4 linked regions of the Arabidopsis thaliana genome follow. The protein of the gene in region 3 interacts with the protein of the main gene of each other region in a pairwise test. Each region holds a gene or a part of one and is shown on either strand. Other genes may lie near its edges. The genes, in order: HB32, AT2G02160, IAA20 and RR14.

The links.
Region 1: the proteins of IAA20 (region 3) and HB32 interact in binary tests that used the Arabidopsis thaliana proteins (3 or more experiments, as listed by UniProt).
Region 2: the proteins of IAA20 (region 3) and AT2G02160 interact in binary tests that used the Arabidopsis thaliana proteins (3 or more experiments, as listed by UniProt).
Region 4: the proteins of IAA20 (region 3) and RR14 interact in binary tests that used the Arabidopsis thaliana proteins (3 or more experiments, as listed by UniProt).

The regions. Positions count from the first base shown.
Region 1 is NC_003070.9:5,045,581-5,049,587, reverse strand, and holds HB32 (homeobox protein 32), read right to left. Parts: upstream 1,807-4,007; 5' UTR 1,543-1,806; coding exon 1,036-1,542; 3' UTR 835-1,035; downstream 1-834. Other genes in the region: AT1G14686 (ENTH/ANTH/VHS superfamily protein), read left to right, coding at 2,788-3,807. UniProt on the Arabidopsis thaliana protein: Putative transcription factor.
Region 2 is NC_003071.7:552,518-558,529, forward strand, and holds AT2G02160 (CCCH-type zinc finger family protein), read right to left. Parts: upstream 3,615-6,012; 5' UTR 3,383-3,614; coding exon 3,242-3,382; intron 2,856-3,241; coding exon 2,745-2,855; intron 2,648-2,744; coding exon 890-2,647; 3' UTR 569-889; downstream 1-568. Other genes in the region: EMB2794 (Tetratricopeptide repeat (TPR)-like superfamily protein), read right to left, coding at 1-108; AT2G02170 (Remorin family protein), read right to left, coding at 4,078-4,284, 4,381-4,462, 4,545-4,998, 5,081-5,623, 5,737-5,881.
Region 3 is NC_003071.7:19,305,259-19,309,571, reverse strand, and holds IAA20 (indole-3-acetic acid inducible 20), read right to left. Parts: upstream 1,859-4,313; 5' UTR 1,712-1,858; coding exon 1,339-1,711; intron 969-1,338; coding exon 872-968; coding exon of another isoform or gene 868-871; exon of another isoform or gene 761-867; coding exon 703-760; 3' UTR 501-702; downstream 1-500. Other genes in the region: AT2G46995 (uncharacterized protein), read left to right, coding at 1-104.
Region 4 is NC_003071.7:331,220-335,684, reverse strand, and holds RR14 (response regulator 14), read right to left. Parts: upstream 2,784-4,465; 5' UTR 2,645-2,783; coding exon 2,296-2,644; intron 2,218-2,295; coding exon 1,813-2,217; intron 1,730-1,812; coding exon 1,653-1,729; intron 1,573-1,652; coding exon 1,171-1,572; 3' UTR 989-1,170; downstream 1-988. Other genes in the region: VIT1 (vacuolar iron transporter 1), read left to right, coding at 1-31, 123-237, 613-910; AT2G01755 (uncharacterized protein), read left to right, coding at 2,897-3,436; MAP70-3 (microtubule-associated proteins 70-3), read right to left, coding at 3,837-3,879, 3,983-4,176, 4,270-4,465. UniProt on the Arabidopsis thaliana protein: Transcriptional activator that binds specifically to the DNA sequence 5'-[AG]GATT-3'. Functions as a response regulator involved in His-to-Asp phosphorelay signal transduction system.

The sequences.
Region 1 (4,007 bases), on a different chromosome or scaffold from region 3:
TGTAATCTGTGTTTAGGCAAATCTTAACGAGTATTTGAATCTAATCAAGTAATCATGTCTACAATTTGTATGGTGAAACTTTTTTATACAGTTTTGTTTATTTGTTTTTTGTACGTTGGATTGAGATTACGGGCAAGCTTGGTTCAGATCGAGCCGGGCAAGACTGTCTCTGGTTTTAGTTAACCTGGTCCTAAATCCTAATCATTTTCTAAATCAGTAGGTAAACACTAGAATAATTGTAGACTAGAGCTATGTTTTTTAGTTTTCTCAAAGGTGTTCTTATTGGCCTTGAAATGCCAACAAAAGCCCAATTAAAGTTGAAACTTTCGTGGGAATGGGATGCTTGGTATAATGGTAGCAAAGTTACAATTTTATGAATCAATTAGTTCACAATTTTATTGGTATATACTTTTAAGTATATGGTTTTACGACTTTATAAAAAAGCAAAAAGTATAAAAATTATTTTTGAAATGACTATTTCTACAAAAAAAAGCATAACAGCTTTTATTGGCTTTGATGATGTCATTATAATTTTTAGTAACAAACCTCGAAAAAACACAATGTTGTGTTATTTCCGTAACTAATTGTCTTTTCATTACGTGAAATATATCTTACCATTAATTATTTACAAATTTTAGAATTAGATATGTAATCTTTACAATTTTCTATCAAAACAAAATGTCATTTTGCCATCCTTTCCCATAATAATTAGTACTACTATTCAACTACTTCAATATTATTACGTATAAATATTCTGATTGGCGAACAGTATTGACCATAAATAAAACGTCAGCTAGTTGTCTTGTCAAAACTCAAATCCCACCGACGTAAAAAGAAGAATCATAAAGACCAATTAAAGAGTGAACCAGTTAGTAATTAAGGACATGTCCAAATCAAACACATTAAACCCACTAATGATAAAATAATAATCCATTAAAATAAGCGATCAAGGAGGAGAAATTAACACAGAAGGGATGAAAATGAAATTGGAACTAAATTATAGTATTATCTCAATTAAGGATATTAGTTAATTAGTTAGTGATAAAACTTTTTATTATTGTTAACCCAAGTTTTAAAATGATAACGAGTAACACCAATCCCTTCACAGAAGACTCTTATCTCTTCTCTAAGCGCTCTCTTATCCTTCAACGTCCATCCCAACTTCGCCGCGTAATCTTTCATCGCCTCTCTCTGCTCCGCCGTGAACTTTGACTTCCTCCGCCTCTGCACCGTCATCTTCTCTTCCGTCGAAGTCTCCTCCGTGTCATCCTCCTCCTCCTCATTTCTTTCCTCAGCCGTTTTCCATTTCAGCCTCGCCAGCTGCTTCACGCGCCTTAAGCTCGTGAACGGGAAGCGCGTGTGATTGATTTGAGGAGAAGATATGACGTCTATACGACGGTGGTAGCTGCGGTGGCAACCACAGGCGACGCAGAGATCGCCGGTGGATGGTTGAGAGTATTCACGGCAGCCATCGATGGCGTAAGAGCCGAGCTTCGCGGCGTGGTTGCGCATGCATTCTCTGTAGACACAAGTACTCTGCATCTTCTTGGCTCTCTAATTAGAAGAGAGAGACTTTGTTTTTTTTTGAGTAATGATTTTTGCGTTTAGGGTTTGTTTTGGAAGAGTTTGGTTTTGGGTTACTTAAGTTATGATATGGTGTTTTTTTGTGTCAGAAAGAGTTGGGAGTTACAAAAAGAGCAAAAATTATTGTTACTTACTTGCTTTAAGATTTTGTACTTACGTGTTTATTAGTTGTCATAATAAATGTGAAAAACCCACTTTTTGAACTGTTTCACTGGCTTTGCTTTTCTACACATCCATAATTTCGTATCCTCTCAGCTCATAAAGTTGTCATCTCTACCCATAGTTAACTCTTTCAATCCATTGGGTTAAGTGTAGTAGCAATAATGAGGAATAAGAAAACTAAACCACTTTTTGTAAAACTATAGCGGCTAATTAGTACTAGTAAACTAGTACTAATATATTAGTAATAAGTTTTTAATATAGGTATAAACAAATTTAATAAGTTTGGATTGTATAGAGGTCACATGTTTCTAAATAAGTAGAAGTATTTTGATTTATAAAAGTAAGATTTAAGAAACTAATTTTGTAAAATTGAGAAATATCAATAATATATTGTAACTAAAATGAAACTATAATTAAGAAGCAAAGATCAAAAGTTTTCAAAGAATCTGATTTTATTGCAAAAAGAAGTCTGAAACGCTTTCTTTTAAGAGGTTTAGCAAAAAAGCAATTGTGTGACCCACGAGTTGACTATTCACTATCGTATATGTTCATTTGCCTACTTTATGTTTTGTGTGTAATTTAGCAAGCTAAACGATTATTTTACGGCTTAACGATATCAATCACACCATTAATAATTAAGATATGTATATTTCCATATTGTACAAACAAAGTCATAATTTGACTTGCTCAAACCACATACATTATATACGATTACAACACTACTACACTAGAAAATTGCCTCAAAACAAAATCAACGAAACATATAGAAAAGCCAACCAAACAACACTTATCTAATGAACTTATTACGTAATCAATCGAGTTAAACTGAAAAATGGAAGATAATAATTTAGTAACGACATCAAAAATATCTTTTTTTATTTTGGTCAAAACTGAGATTTCTTAATTTTAGCTTATCCTTATCTAATTCGTTTTAAACCAGCAAAGAATTGACATCAAAGAAAACAAAACACGGTTTAAAATGAAAATTATAAAGCGCGAAATAGAAACTAACAATTTGAAACCACACACATTAGTCGGAAGATGAAGCTTTGGAAACGCGCCGCCGTAGTTCTCAAAGACGGACCTAGTCTCATCGCGGCTGATGACATTCTCACAGCAGCCGTTGTGAAAGCTACAAGCCACGACGAGCTCTCCATTGATACAGAGAGCGCTCAATTCATCTACCGTCACGTTCTCTCTAGCCCGTCAAGCCTCAAGCCTCTCGTAAGCTTAATCTCGTCTCGCGTGAAACGCACGCGAAGCTGGGCGGTTGCTTTAAAAGGCTTAATGCTAATGCACGGCTTCTTCCTCTGTAAATCAACCGTAGCAGAATCGATCGGACGGTTACCTTTCGATCTTTCGAGTTTCGGCGAAGGTAATTCACGGATTATGAGCAAATCCGGTGGGTTTAATCTCTTCGTACGTGCTTATTTCGCGTTTCTTGATCGAAGATCGATTCTGTTTCACGATGGGAATCGTCATCGATACAACGAAGAATCATCGGTTCTGATTCGACTTGTGATTATTCGTAAGATGCAGATTATTGTTGATTCTTTGATTAGAATCAAACCGATTGGTGAAAACATGATGATACCTGTGATTAATGAAGCTATGGAGAATGTGGTTAGTGAGATTATGGAGATTTACGGTTGGATTTGTCGTCGTATTGCTGAAGTTTTACCTAACGTGCACTCCAAGATAGGTAAAACAGAGGCAGACTTGGCGTTGAAGATTGTTGCTAAATCCATGAAGCAAGGAGGAGAGCTAAAAAAGTATTTTGAGTTTTGTAAAGACTTGGGAGTTTCTAATGCTCAAGAGATTCCTAATTTCGTAAGGATTCCTGAAGCGGATGTGATTCATCTCGATGAACTCGTAAGGACGGCGATGGAGTCGTCTGAGGAAAGTGCGGAGAGAACAGAGATTGCTGAGGAAGAAGAAGAAGAAGAGGAAGAGATAGAGACGAAGCTTTCTGATTTGATAACACTTGATCATAATGAGGAAGCTCCTGCCTCTCCTCCGAGAGTTGTTGTCGTTGATATTCCAGACTTAATTAGCTTTTAACTATGATTATATTCTGTATTAATTTCGATTGTTGTTATTGTTCATATGGTACACATTCAAATTAATTTCGCGCTTGGGACAAAGCTATACTTCCTTTAGTTAATGATTATTCAGACATCAATTCTAGTATGTTTTTCAACTATATATAAGTACAAATAAAGGTAATCTGAAAAATAAAAACATTTAATTAAAAGAATATC
Region 2 (6,012 bases), about 19 Mb from region 3:
AGGGAAACAGAGAGGTGATTGGATTTGAGAGAGGGAAGAAGAAGAAGGGCTTACATGGCGAGGGAATCTGCGATTAACGTGAAGAAAATTGCGAAGAGAACAGAACATTTTCAGGAAAAAAGTTAAAAGTGAATAGAATGAGCCTCATGGTTTAACTCAGAGACATTGTATTCTATGGTATTCAACTATTCTACTGAAGAGGAAGGAAGGAGAAGAAGAAGAAGAAAGTAGGGTTTATGAAGAACTCTGGGTTTTGTTGCTTTTTTCCACCAAGTCTATTTCTTTACCTGTTGTTGTTCTTGTTTGTAAAATAATGATTTATGGGCCTTTGGAAACGGGCTACATAGGCCCAAAAGTTATAATTCTGGGCCCAGTCTTCTTTTTCTCATAACATTTTTTAACTCAGGGTTAATTAGATTGGTCGACTAAATTCGTAAATACTTTAAAGTTGATTGGTGGAAATCAGTTACATAATTACTCATGTTATGGAAAGGGCAAAAACAATAATGCTAAAGTGGTATTACATCATTCATGGTATGCAAGTGCAAAAACAATAATGATAAAAGGTGTTAAAAGCTAAAATAAGTTATTTACTGTAAATACTTTTTAATTTGAGGAAAAAGTAATATATCAAAACAGATTAGAAAACAGTAAAACTCAGAAATATGATATGGTGTACTTGTACCATTGTTTCTTTTCTTTCTTCTCTAGTGTTACAATTTAAGAAATCACAGTAAGAAAAAATGGCGACTAAAACTCAGTGCCAAGCCAAAGATAAAAGCGACTCGTATTATTTGCTCTACGACTTCTTCTCTCCATTTGCATTAAGCAGAGAGAGAGAGAGAGAGGAAAGGAGCAAAAGCTTTTTTCTGTGTTACTCTTTCTTCTTTTATGACAACATCTCAACGGTCTTCTTCTCAATGTCTTCTTCACCCTCACCTTCACCTCCTTCTGTTGCTTCTTCTTCTCCTTCCTCAGCCGCGTAAACTACTTCTTCACCTTCTTCGTAAGCGTATTCTCCTCCCTCTTCTTCATATCCTTCTTCGTAATAGTACTCTCCGTTTAGCTCATCGCCTTCATAAGCTTGCTCGTCTTCATTTCCTTCATACACTTCCTCCCCAACAATTTCTTCTTCCTCCATAACCGTTCCTTCTTCTTCTACTTCAGCTTTGGGTTCAGAGACAACCTCGGTTTTCTCTTCGGTTATGAGTTTGATCTCATCTCCAGCTTCCTCTTTCGATATCGTCTCGTCCTTGTTGTTGTTTCTGCTACCACCAGATGCGGCCGCTTTTTTTCTCTTGAGAATCTCACTGAAAGGCAATGGAGCTGCAAATGAATCCCTTGATCGCTTATGACTATGATGATCCTCTTCAAAGCTTTTCCTCTTCCCAAGAGATGGCTCTGGCTTACTTTCCTCTCTGCTGCTTTTAGGAGCTGATTTTCTTTCGTCTTCCATTTCTCTTCTTCTCGCCCATGGAGCCCCGAAACCTCTTTCCTGATTACCACTATGGTTTTCCTCTAACCTACCCTTAATTCTATCTCGGAGTCTACCCTGAGAAGGTAACTCGCTTCTGTCCCTTCCCCTCTCACTTCTCCTGTCAAAGTGGTGACCCTCTTCGCCATTGCTTCTCTCACGAAGCTTAATTCTACCCTGAAGACGACTACTGCTAATGGAGTTTTCCCTCGGTGTATCCCTACGAGACTCTCTATATCCTCTGTCCATCGAAGAGTCAGGAGCAGCATAGTCATGGCCTCCTACTGATAATCTCATACCATTGCCTTTTCTCTGCTTAGCCAAACGATATCTCAGATCCGATTCCAGTATGTTCTCTGATCTCTCATCTTCTGCGTAAACCCTTCTGTCCAAACGATCCTCTCTCTCAGAAGAAACTCGACGATGGCCCCATCCCCTGTCTTCCCTCCGATCATATGAATCAAAACGTTGTTCACGTAATGCTTCTTTATCACCATCAGCAATTGCACTGAAATCAGGGTCATACTCTGAGTTCCCTCTCTCCTGACTTCTACGTCCATATCGATCTTCAACATGATAATACTCAGAATCTCCAGCCTCATTATCCACAAGAACATCAAACCCAGGAGACGACTCTCTTAAAACGTCATCTGCATCCTTACCATTGTGGAAACTGTTATTATCATCAGATCCATATTTCTGAAGCAACTGAGTAGAATGGCCTCCTTCAGTAAAAGAAGGGAATCCTGGACCCTTTCTCTGCACAACAGGCTCATATCCCACATGGTTTGGAATGTATCCCTCTACACTTCTACTATCCCTTAGTCCAGTAGAAGCGACTCTTGGTGCAGCCGATATGTCAGTATGTCCTTTAACCACCTTTGAGAGATTAACATCAGGAAGTTTCTTCTCCTCAGTGTTATTTTCAATTGGCTTTTTAGAACACTGAGGATCAGTAGCAGGCTTAGCTTCTACAGGATGCTGTTTTTTATACGCAGCAGGATTCGGCGTGTGCAAGAACGAACACATATCTCCTTTCATACACATGCCTTTTTGAAAGAACAGACATGGAACAGGCTGTTTTGCAACACTAGGATGCTGCGCGGTTGCATGTATTGGCTGTACAGAAACAGCAGGAGCACCTCCTTGATTTCCCAACAATCCCTCCAAAGGCTGTAAGAAAACAAAACCACAAACATAAGCACACTTTGATAATACAACTCAAGAAGCTCAAGCAGAGACTATCTATTGAGGAAGAAAGTAAACTCACAGGATGCCGAAATCCACATTTGGGATTCAAACAGTTTCCATTCAACCAATAATAGCAATCCCTCGGGTTCATACGCGCATACTCACTGTGGCGATACTCGCATTCAGGTCCCTGTAAGCAAAAAAGGAAGAAACCATAAGAATCGTTCTTCAGCATAAACATACACATCGAGCAAAAATCATATTCACAGAACATGAAAATCTCCTTTATCAGAACATCCTTATAAAGCTTTGTATATGTAATTTTCAATCTAGCTAACAAGAAGCCCTAAGAAACAACAATACTTAGAATCACGAGGTTCGAAATCACCAGATCTAAATCTCGCACCAAAATTAAGCAGATGGAGAAGTGAAGTATGTATAGATAGCTTCGAGGGACACAAAAACACAGAGAAACTTGAAATCGGGTGAAAGAAACTTGAGATCTCAAATCCAAAACCCTAATTGAAGCAGAAACTGGATAAGATCTAAGCGAAACAATAATCAAAAATCAATTACCTTCTTGCAGGTTAAAGGAGAAGCGAGAAAGTAAACGCAATCGGTGTTCCACTTCAAAGCATCTTCTTCAGCAGATGAAACAGTCTCTGATTGCTTCTTCTGCTCATGTTGCTGTTGCGGTTGAGTCGCAGGCGCAAACATTATTATTACTTGGAAATTTCTGAATCTCTCTTTCAAGTAGATCGCAAGGTTTCAGATCGAAACCCTAGGAAGATCGAAAATCACCGATTCAGAGAGAGTCCCGTGGAAGAAGAAGAAGAAGACGAGCCGCCACAAAGAGCGCACCAGAGAGAAACTCGCGACTGTGTGTGTGTGCCCTTTAAAGCTAAGCCTAAAAGTTTTTTTTTTTGGCTCTTTTTTTTTCTTATGTGATGGGAAATATCAATAGATCAAGTTCGGTTTATTTGTAATCAATCAAATACTGACACGTGGGGATTTATTATTGGTTTATTTGTTAGCCATATTGTTTGCCTTGATATTATAACTTCTGATGGAACCAGCGACTTTGGAATGTTGTGAAATAGACAATGATAAGGTGATTTAAACCGAACTTGAACCAAAATTGTAAACCGATTGGTAGATCTTTTACAATCAAACATTGGTAAGGAAATCTAACCAAAATTAAATCCAAACCAAAATCAAAACTTTGGTTTTCACTTTGGTAAGGACATCTTGAACCGAGTAATTCGAAGATCTCTCAAAACCAAAATTTGAAGATGTACAAAGCAACTAAAAGATCACAAGAAATAAGTTTTTCAAAGCTTTTATTATACAAATGATGATAGAAAGATGTGTTCTTGAGAATTAACAACATCACATTCACAATAGGATTGGATTTAAGAACAAAAGCTAAAGCAAGAGAACAACAATGAAGGTACTTTGCCTGTTCTTCGGATTTGTTCAGCTTGTTTCTCTGTTTTAGCTGCCTGATGATCCTTCTTTGCTTCAGCCGCTGCTCGCTTTTCCTCTGCTTTGCGCTCGATTGTAGCGAGTTTCTTCATCAACCGGTCTTGTGCTCGTCCCTTAATCCTCTCAACTTTAACCTACAATATCAAGAACTCCACCATCATCATTCATGTTTTTCCAAGTTTGTTCACAATCATGACTTGAACTTACGTAGCTATGTTAGTGTAGTTTACCTCGGTTTTCTTCATCTCGGCTTCAGATTTCGCCTTCTGATGATTCTCCCATGCTTGAATCTTCATCTCTTCGCGTCTGAACCTGGAGATTACAGAACTCATCATAAGCTTAAAGTTTCGAGAATAACTAGAGGACTATGACAAACAATTCAACTTTGGACTACCTAGCCATGTGCTTAGCTTTTTCCGCTTCCTCCCACGCTGTAGCACGAGCTTCAGAAACACTTTTAGAAGTTTGTAGAGAAGCTTTGGTCTTTAATGATGTGGATGCGTCTTTATCTTCATCCTCCTTGCTAGCCCAAGCAGCAATGTTAAATTTACCAAGTTGAGTACCCAACACCATTATCTCTCTCCTAGTTTTCATTTGAAGCTCTTTCTCTGACAGTTCCTTGTTACTCATAGGAGAAGCTGATGCTTGTCTGCCTGGACTTGAAGGTTCAGAAGATATAGGACTTCGTATTGGCGTTGTTGCCCTAATCGGTGTCCCGTTTCTAGAAGGTTCTTGGCTCGCTATAGGAGTCATTTCAGTTCCCATGTCTCTCATTGACACAGACCTTGCCGTTGAAGGCGGTTGAGCAAACGCAGTTGCGACTGACGAGTCATGACGGCTGAGATTAACTGCAAGAAAGCAAGTAAAATTGGCTTTAGAAGATAAATAGAGCATACAAACTGAATAACTCAAAGAGCTAGCTAACACCACCTTCAGTTGCTGATTCTACAATAGAGTTCTCAACCATAAGAACCGGTTTGACATATGAATCCACGGTAGTGTACGAATCAACTTCCCAGCTACCAAACTTGTTTCCCATATCCTTTTTCACTTGGCTTACATCTATTCTCTTTGTATCAGGCTCTTCAACCACTCTATGTTCAGCAACTTCAACAATCTTCATAGAAGACTGACGACCAAAGCTAGGCCCTTTCTTCGAACCCGGAACCTGAACCTGTCCAGTCTTCGGTCGGTTAGCCGTAGGACTAGCAATCCATTTCTGAGCATCATCCCATTTAGATGGAGCTGGTTTAGAGAATGATCTAATAGGCATTCTTTGATTAACTTTTTCCTTCTCAGTCTTTTGAAACTCAAAGACAGATGATGCAGAAACACTCTTGATCTCATTCACATTATCATAATCAGAATACTCTTGAAGACCCAAACTAATCGATCTAGCTATCCCTGAAGTAGAACAATCAGTAATCTCACTCACAACATCAACATCTTTGCAATCATCTAATCCACTAGCAACTACAACATTTGAAAACAACAAAAGCAAAGAAAAAAAGATGCAAACTTTAGATTCAAATAGAGACAAAAGGCGTTATTAAAAAGAGTATTAAGAAATGATTAAGGGGCTCCACCATAAACCCTAGGGTCATCAATTTGATTAGACCCAGATCTCATTGTAGGAGTTGATTCTTCTTCTTCATTCTTCTTTCTATCAACACCTAGAAGAAGCATACTCCTTAACTTCCCCGGAGAAAATCCGCCGCCGCTACTAGTAACCTATTCATCGGAGGAAACAGAGTTTATCAAATCAAAAACAGAGATGATGATGAAGTGATTTGCAAAAGGAAAGTTTGTACTTTGAAGTAAGAAATCAGAAAATTGACAAATCTGGCTTTTGATATCCCTAA
Region 3 (4,313 bases):
TAGAAGCGATTTGCTCCGTCTCGGTCTCTGTTTTGCTTGATCCGGAAGCTATGATTGGAATAAACAGAAACCCTATATTTTGCGTAAGCCGAATACTTTTGTGAGTTTTAAGTTGCATTATTTATAGATGGGATCGAACTTGGGCTTAATCAAAGGAGAAGGCCCATTTATTTCCAAAACACAAAGTAGGAAATATCAGGTGGGAATTTGTTGTTTCCCCTGCCTCCTTCCTTGTATATATCAAATGTACATTGTGGTCAAATCGATAATCAAATCCAAAAATTCTTCGAAAATTTAGAAGTTGTCTCTCGACATTAATTTGTCGCTTGGTTTTCTTGACTACTAGTATTTTCTGAAACTGGACTACATCCTATTTGACAAACAAAAGAAAGTACATCCTATAATTTTATTTATAAAAGCATTCAACTAATTATATAAATTCAAATATCCAATGACCAATGGTCTGACTGGTTTAATGCACTGAAACATGATTGTCGATCGGATAATTGTTTTTTCCTTTTTTTACTATTTTTTTGTGTACTACCGAGAATAATCAGAGTGAGTTCAAGATTTATGTACTATCTATCACAAAAGAAAAATGAAAATAATATTATAAATATCCGACCATTGATTTACATCAGGCAAAAACTTTTTTCTTGGCATTACTTCGATTTAAACACAACAAGTACGTAGACTTATATATCAGTAGTGGTAATTAGCTCTTGAAATCTTCAGTCTTCTCACAGTAGACAAGAACATCCTGCAAAAAATCAACCCACAAATTAAAAATATATATAAGGATGATCATATAGTTAATTTTCTGCATAATTAACAATCTAATTATACAAAAAAGGATGAAAAGAGTGCTTACTCCCAAGGAACATCTCCAACCATCATCCAGTCACCTTCCTTATCTGCGTACGTTAGCACGTGACTCTTCTCATTGCACATGTCTTCTTCTTCAGCCCCTATATATTTCCATTTTTTCAATTCCCATCAGTTTTCATCATTTTTACAATTTACCCATTACACAGTACTTACACACTGCGCAATATATAAACTCTACCTACGGAATAATAACTCTGACATATAACGTTATCCAGATTTTTTTTTTGACAAACAAACAAACAACCTATGAAATAGTGATGGGCGATTATTACGGCGATATTAACCTTCAAACAAAAGAATAGTAATGAGCGGAAGTATTTTTTCATTCCGTAAAAAAAAAAAAAAAATCAAAACGGACTTATAAGAAAGAAAAAAATATCGTTAGAAATTTGCTACCTCTAAGACATATAAATCATTCTGATATGACATTATGTATACATAGAAACTTACAGAGAATGGATGCGTTGAACATGAAATCAAGGGTTCTGATCAAGTCGCGGTAGCCATTAAGAGACATTAGATCGATCTTTCTTCCAATTGGAACTCCTTCCATGTTCACTTTCACGTAAAAGCTCCCTACACTGTTACACTCATTCTCTTCTTCCTCCTCCACAGCCGCCACATATTCCGCATCCTCTACCGCCGGAGCTGCAACGGAGTACCCATAGCCACCGTTGAAATATTGAGTCCCTGAGGATGTCCCGAAGCTGAGTCCGAGTCTCAGGTCCGTGCTTAGGTTTCGAGTACTTGACGAAGCACCGAATGGGTTGCTCTTGCTGCTACTCTCTATTGAAGAAGACGATGAACTTCTCCCTCTTCCCATATCTCTAGCTCTCTCTCTCTCTCTCTATCCTTTTTATAATAATTTTAGGTTAAGACAAATGAGTAATGAGCCGCCATGCTTGGTTTGTACGTGTGTGTTTATATAGAAGATAAAACTAGGACTTGTTTTTATTTTATTTTAAATTTGATATGGTCTTAATTCGTATTTTTGTTCAAAGTTCACACAAATAAAAAGCGACGGTGGAATGATGAGACAGCGTCCGCTAAAAATGTTGTTAGTGTAGCAGACCAAAACACGTGTCAAACGATGATTCGATCAAAGTGTTGGTTATGATTTTGTGGGTTCGGTTTCTCGCTAGTTAATGTTTGATATCTAACCCCAAAAAATAAATATATACATTTAGCTGTTTTGATGATATGAAGTAGTATTAAAGTTAATATTGAGAAATTACATCTTCTTAATCGTGTTCAATGCATGAAAGGTTATCGTGACGCGCATTGAGGCGTTTGTGGAACTACATTACTTCCCACATTTCCAAAATTAATGTGTTTTCATATGACCTCGATACAATTAACACTTTAATCAAACAAATTATTTTCGGAAAGTGTTTGGGTAAATGCTTGCTTAGTAATCGGATTAACACTTCTTTCTTAAGTTAATTAGGTATAGTTCTTTACTTCTGTTTAACAAAAGTTATGACGAAAGTTACGATGTGGAGTTGTGGACCCATCATATGTATGCAAGCATGACAAATGTTTGAGCCTACGATGATTCAAGTCCAAGTCATTATTAACCATAAAACAATGCGATTTAGTTCCACCAGATGATTTGAATAATCAAAACCCCCAATAAGTAAGTCTTAGACCGATTTTATTTCATGTAAAAAGAAGATAAATCTCATTTTTGTTTCTTTACAATTACGTTTATTCGAAGCTTAGACATAAAAAAAAATTAGTCAACTACTAAACAAGTTGTATCAGCGCTGCCATAATCGGTCTAAAACGGACTATTCCAAACCGGTAAAAAGTGCCTATATAATGATGTAAATCATACGTAATATATTTGCGAAAGAGAAGTTGTTAGACGTAATAATAACTAAATAAATAGAGAAAATTTGAAAATTGAAAAGAAAAAAAAAAGCGAAGGAAGAGAGGGGGCATGAGTAATGAATGGTTCACCTTAAAGAGAGGACCTAATGAGAGTTCCTTTGTCTATGGAACTTAAGGAGACGTCACATTTCTCATATTTGCAAGCACGAGAAAAAGGAAACACACACACTCACGACACAACGACCAACGACTATATTTCTTGTCATTACCCACGTGGCATTTTTGTTTCCACGTGGACTCCCTCAACCACAACATGTACATTGTACAATGGATGCGTGCCTTATGGTAAAATTATATAATTTCATTGAAAATATAATATAAGAATCAAATTTTAATGGATGTGTGCTTCGTGACGAAACTAATTTCATTTCAATTCATCAAACTTCGTTATTATAATTTCATCCTTCACAAAATAACACAACGTGCAAGCATAGTGTAGCTTGGTTTGGATTGAACCATGTAAGCAATTAGAGACATATACGCACTAGAGTTGAAACCGGCTTGGTTCCCTCGCTTAATTCAGGTTTCGATATTTCAGTTTGGAAAAAATGTACTAATTAGTTGGAACCAATTGAGTTTTAGAGAAATATTGAAGAAACAAAAAAAAAATCAAGAGAAAAAGGATAAAGGAGAGATGTTCCCTAACAACACTACAAATTACAATTTCCTCACTTTCTTATTTTCTTACTGCCTCCGCCTCCTCTCTGTCCCCTCTTTTCTTCCATTATTTTCATTTGCATCTTCTCTTTATTTCTTTGCAACTTTAATCTTATGATATGTAAATTGTAAATATACTCATTTTTTTCTATATTGAATAAAAAAACTTTTGTTAGAAAAAGATACACATATACGATATTTCCTCAAAAATAATATGAAGTACTGATTTTGGCAGTCATTATAGAATTGCATTTTATTGGAAAGATACACACATAGTTCAAGTACTTTATATATGCGCTAATTTTGAGAACTCCACTTTACTGCGTCGTGGTTGCTTGTCAGTCAAAACTTGGGCTTGCTTTTAAGATGCGTGATTGCATTTGCATGTCTCGTGGCTTTCTTTTTCTGTAGCCCCTCTTGTTGGACTAATCATAGCCTTTTGTTTCCTCCCTTTGCTTTAACATTACTGAAATTATCGGATTGTTTCTTTCATTTGTTGATTGGATGTATGTTTACATTATTACATGTGTATTCATTGTTATAATATACAAGTTTTAAAACATTACTTCCCCTACCAAATAATTTCAAATATATATATATATATATATATATATTCATGAAGCATTTTTTATTTTATTTTGGTTTAATGAAGCATTAAATTTTGAACTTGCTTATGTTACTTTTATGATATTGGAAGAAGTCGAATTATTTCTTCGTTGATATCGTATATAAAATTTAAAACTCATAGAATTTCTATTCAAAAAGTAATTGGTGATTAAATGAATGGAGTGCCTATATATGTATTTTTTTTTTCTTGCAATCAATTTTGATTTAGAATTTGCATGCATGATATTTTTTTAATATTTTTTTATCCT
Region 4 (4,465 bases), about 19 Mb from region 3:
CAAGAAGAGATCGTGGCCGTTCCTGAAACTGGTAAGACCAAATTACACTCAATCTAAGCCATCCATATATAAGAAAATTATCCGGTTTAACACATTTTAATTACGATATGGATTTAAAACAGAGGCAGCTGAAGTGGCAGAGATTCTGGCACAGTACGGGATAGAGCCACATGAATATTCACCTGTAGTTAATGCTCTTCGTAAGAATCCTCAAGCTTGGCTTGATTTTATGATGAGGTTAGTCTCACTAATGAAAATTAGTGTTATTTTATGTATACTATATAGTCCATTAGTATTATTTTATGTATATTATATAGTCTTAATTAAAGAGAAAATCGAGGGATACTTTTAGATTTCTGCAAAAGCTGAGCTTATACTTTCCAGGTGTGGGCAAGATTCTTATATGGTCCGACTTCCAATTTTAATCTTTTTTGTTGCAACAAATAAAGTACGTGAATAGTAACAAACAGAAAACAACAAATTACGTGAATATAAAAACTTATCTTATTGATTTGGTTAAGTTTAACACTCTTTACCTATCACAAAATGTTTATATTCCTACTATAAGCATGTAACTTGTTATATAAGTGAGACTTTATTGTTTCGTTACAGGTTTGAGCTGGGATTAGAGAAGCCTGATCCAAAAAGAGCGTTACAAAGCGCGTTCACGATTGCAATCGCTTATGTTCTTGGCGGTTTTATACCGTTACTTCCCTACATGCTCATACCGCATGCCATGGATGCGGTAGTGGCGTCTGTGGTTATAACTCTGTTTGCGCTCTTCATATTTGGCTATGCAAAAGGGCATTTCACTGGAAGCAAGCCCCTCAGAAGTGCGTTTGAAACCGCCTTTATAGGAGCGATTGCTTCAGCTGCTGCTTTTTGTTTGGCTAAAGTTGTGCAACATTAGCAGTAACAAAACTAGTGTTGCGTTTGATGTTTTGTGTACTTTGAGACTTGTTTGTTGCATGTCTTGTGGTTATTATCAGGCTAAAACTTTTGGCAACCATAATAAAGTGAGAGATAACAATTCAAAATATTGGTTACATAATTACTTTCCTAAGCTAACATTGCAGACACACAAGTTTTCTTCTGACATTAATCCATTCCTGAAGATTTAAAAGAAACAGTTGCAGAGCCTTCTCTTCTTAAGCGTATCCATATTGGTCACTATCTTTGTCTTGAAGATCTTTCCAAGATCCAAGATTCTTCATTGACATTTGATCCATACCCTTGTCTGATTCTGTTGTTGTTAACGTCACCTCTCTGTCTGAAATTTGCTGAGGAAGATAGACCATGAACCGCCACAGAAACAGGACGGTTAGAAGCGGATGATACATCAACCGAGAAGTGTTCATTTTGAGATCTACCAAGATTGTCATTAGGAATCCAAACTCCAAAACTAGCAGAGTGATGATTGTCTATTGGTTGACCAAACAATGCAGCTAATGTCTGTGGATGTAATTGTCCTGAGGAAACCAGAGCTTGAATGTTTTCATATCTTTTGGTAGACTCAGAGTCATTACTCTGCGAAGCTTCACCGCTTAATCTCTTCAAATACAATCGGAACTTCTGCAAATGGTATTGATTCAGTCATAACCCTTATAGAGACCCTAATAAGAAGAAAGATTCAATCAATCAATCAAAGAAACCTGTAAATGACTAGCCACGTTTTCTCTGCTTAAACCAGGAACATTCATCAACTCGAGAATCCGCTTTGGTACAGCTTCTGAAACAATAAGAGAGATTCTTATAAGCACAAATTACTTTGAATTTCTTCTACAAGCAATAAGATAGTGTTTAGGATCATACTGTCAATTCCAAGTTTGTTTACGGCATTAACGAATTGTTGATGCAATTCAATAGACCAAACAACGCGTGACTTCTTCGAGTTTCCAGGATCAAGAAGAAGATCATCTTCATTATCATCTCTATCAACACTTCTCTTCTTCTTCTTCTTCTTATTCCTACATTTCATCAAACTTTCCTCTGAGCATTCACTAACCGAAACAACAACAGTCTCGAGGCTACCACTGTTCTTGTTATCCTCTAAAGCTTGAGAACTTCGAAGCTCTTTCTTCATCACACATTTCCTTCTAACAACATGTTGCCAAATGTTCTTAAGCTCTTCAGGACGAATAGGTTTGATTAGATAATCACAAGCTCCATGGTTGATTCCAGTCATGACTGTAGTTGTTCTTCCATCAACAGACATCACTAGAAACAGAGCAAATGTAAGAAACATTGATGCAAAGATTCAATCTTTAGAGACAAAACATAACAACAGAGTCTTACTAATGACAGGAAGATCCATTTCAAGAAGACCAACTTGTTGAAGAAGATTGTAACCATTCATACCAGGCATATGAACATCACTTAGCACCAAATCAAAACTGTCTTTTCTTTCTCTTAGAATGGTTAACGCAACATCAGCTTGTGAGCAAATTGTAACTACAAAGAGAAGATAAAACAAAAATGTTAAAACTTTCTTGAGAAAATCTATTAAAAGGTGGGAACTTTGATAAAGAATTAGACCTTGGTACATGAGACGGAGAAGCATTTTCTCGAGAATGAACAAGCATGAAGTATCATCGTCTACAACGAGTATTCTTAACCCACTAGGAAACTGATCGTTGATCGGCATTAAGCTTTGGTGTGAGTATTGAAAACCCTAGAGAACTGAGAAAGAGATTTTGGTTGGAGAAGAAAGAAGAAGAAATGATTGAAGACGTACAGTGTTGAGTAAGTAGCCACTGGTTTGAAGAGAGAGGCAACGAAAGCGACTGGTAATAGCTGTAGTGGCACTCTGTTGTAATTAATCCAATTGGTACTACCCTTATTTGTAAACATACACGAGTCCTTTAAAATCTTATCTATAGACAAAGTCACGGTCCTCATGCACTACAATATCAGAATGCTTATCACGCCGGCGAATTTATCCGGTGGCATAGCCGGATTATTCGTTTTCGGACAGAAAGATCAAATGACTAAAATACCCTCGCTCACAAACTCGTATAACTACCGGAAAAAACTTTTCACCGTCCCTCCAGTGGCGGAGAGAAGAAGAGCTTTGAAGATGTTCTGGTGCGGTGCTCGGAGAAGGGTGAGAGACGAGGGAGGTGGTGAAGATGAAGATGAAATGTATGGATACAACGAGGAAATGGCGATGTTGGAGATATATAGCCAGTCGTGTAGAGAAGAAGCGCTTATAGTGACGGCCATTGTCGACGATGAAGAAGTGGAAGTTGTAATCTTTAAAGGAGTGTCGTCGTGCTTGAGCGGAGAAACGGCGGTGGATCCGGCGAGGAGTGTGTTGCCGGAGAGAGCAGTCATTACAAAGATTGATAGAGTGAGAGGTCCTTTTGATCCTTCACAGATTCATTATATTCAAAGGGACATCTCTTTTCAAGCCTTCAAGGAGACCAGACTCAACTAATGTTAGTGAATGTTGTGTCTGGATCAATGAAACTAATGACAATTTCAATTTTTTCACTAATAACTCTCACCTCTGTTTCTGAACTAATTTCTTAAATCTATAACATACCCCAAAATGAGAAAAATGGACAAAGGTAAGATAGAGAGAGATACAATAAATCACACACTAAGCTCAAGTTAGTAGTTAAAACACAAACCTAACTCTTTTCTATATATGAGGAAAACAATAAACATCAGCCAAGAAATTAAAAATCAGTTTTTAACTTTGAAATCTTACTATGTTAAGAAGCACACAAACCTCCCATATTGGATTTCTATATTTGTATGCTTTTTGTCATTCCTTCAATCTATTAACCACTGAATTGAGATTCATATTTTGCTCGTGGAATCGACTTCTTTGATCACTGCGTGCTCCTCGTCATCCCCATTCGTCCTGAGCCTCTGCTAAAACAACAATGCAAAGCAAACGTTCAAGTGTTAAAGAAAACTAACCTAACCAACTTATAATCGTTACATTGGGTCATTATAATAAGAAAACATCAGGTACCTTCCAGAAAGTAACTGTGCAGTTGTTGAAGCTCCTTTTGAGTTAGTAGAGTGACGTCTCGTTCTACTATCTGATCCTTTGTTATCCACACGCATAGCTGAAACCTCTTTCTCCATTGCTGCTACTTCTCTTCGCATCTTCTTTGCTTCCACTTCCATCGCCTTTGTTAGTGTTTCAACCTTCTTGGCCAACATCTAAAAGCAAACACAAGCCCAAGTATTTTGATCAGAGAATATAAATAAATATAAGCAAACGTTTCTTGGAAAGGTGTAAAACTAATGACTAACCTCAATAGCTTCGTCTTTATCTCTAAGGCTTTGATCTTTATCATTAGCAGCTTTCCTTAAAGTTATCACCTCCTTTTGAAGCAAATCATGTAATACTCCTGGGACACTATCATTATTTGTCCCTGCTGCTTTCTCTGAATCTCCTTGTTTTGTTGAATTAGGTGACCCGCCTCCGCTTGTTCCTTCAGAAGATTGG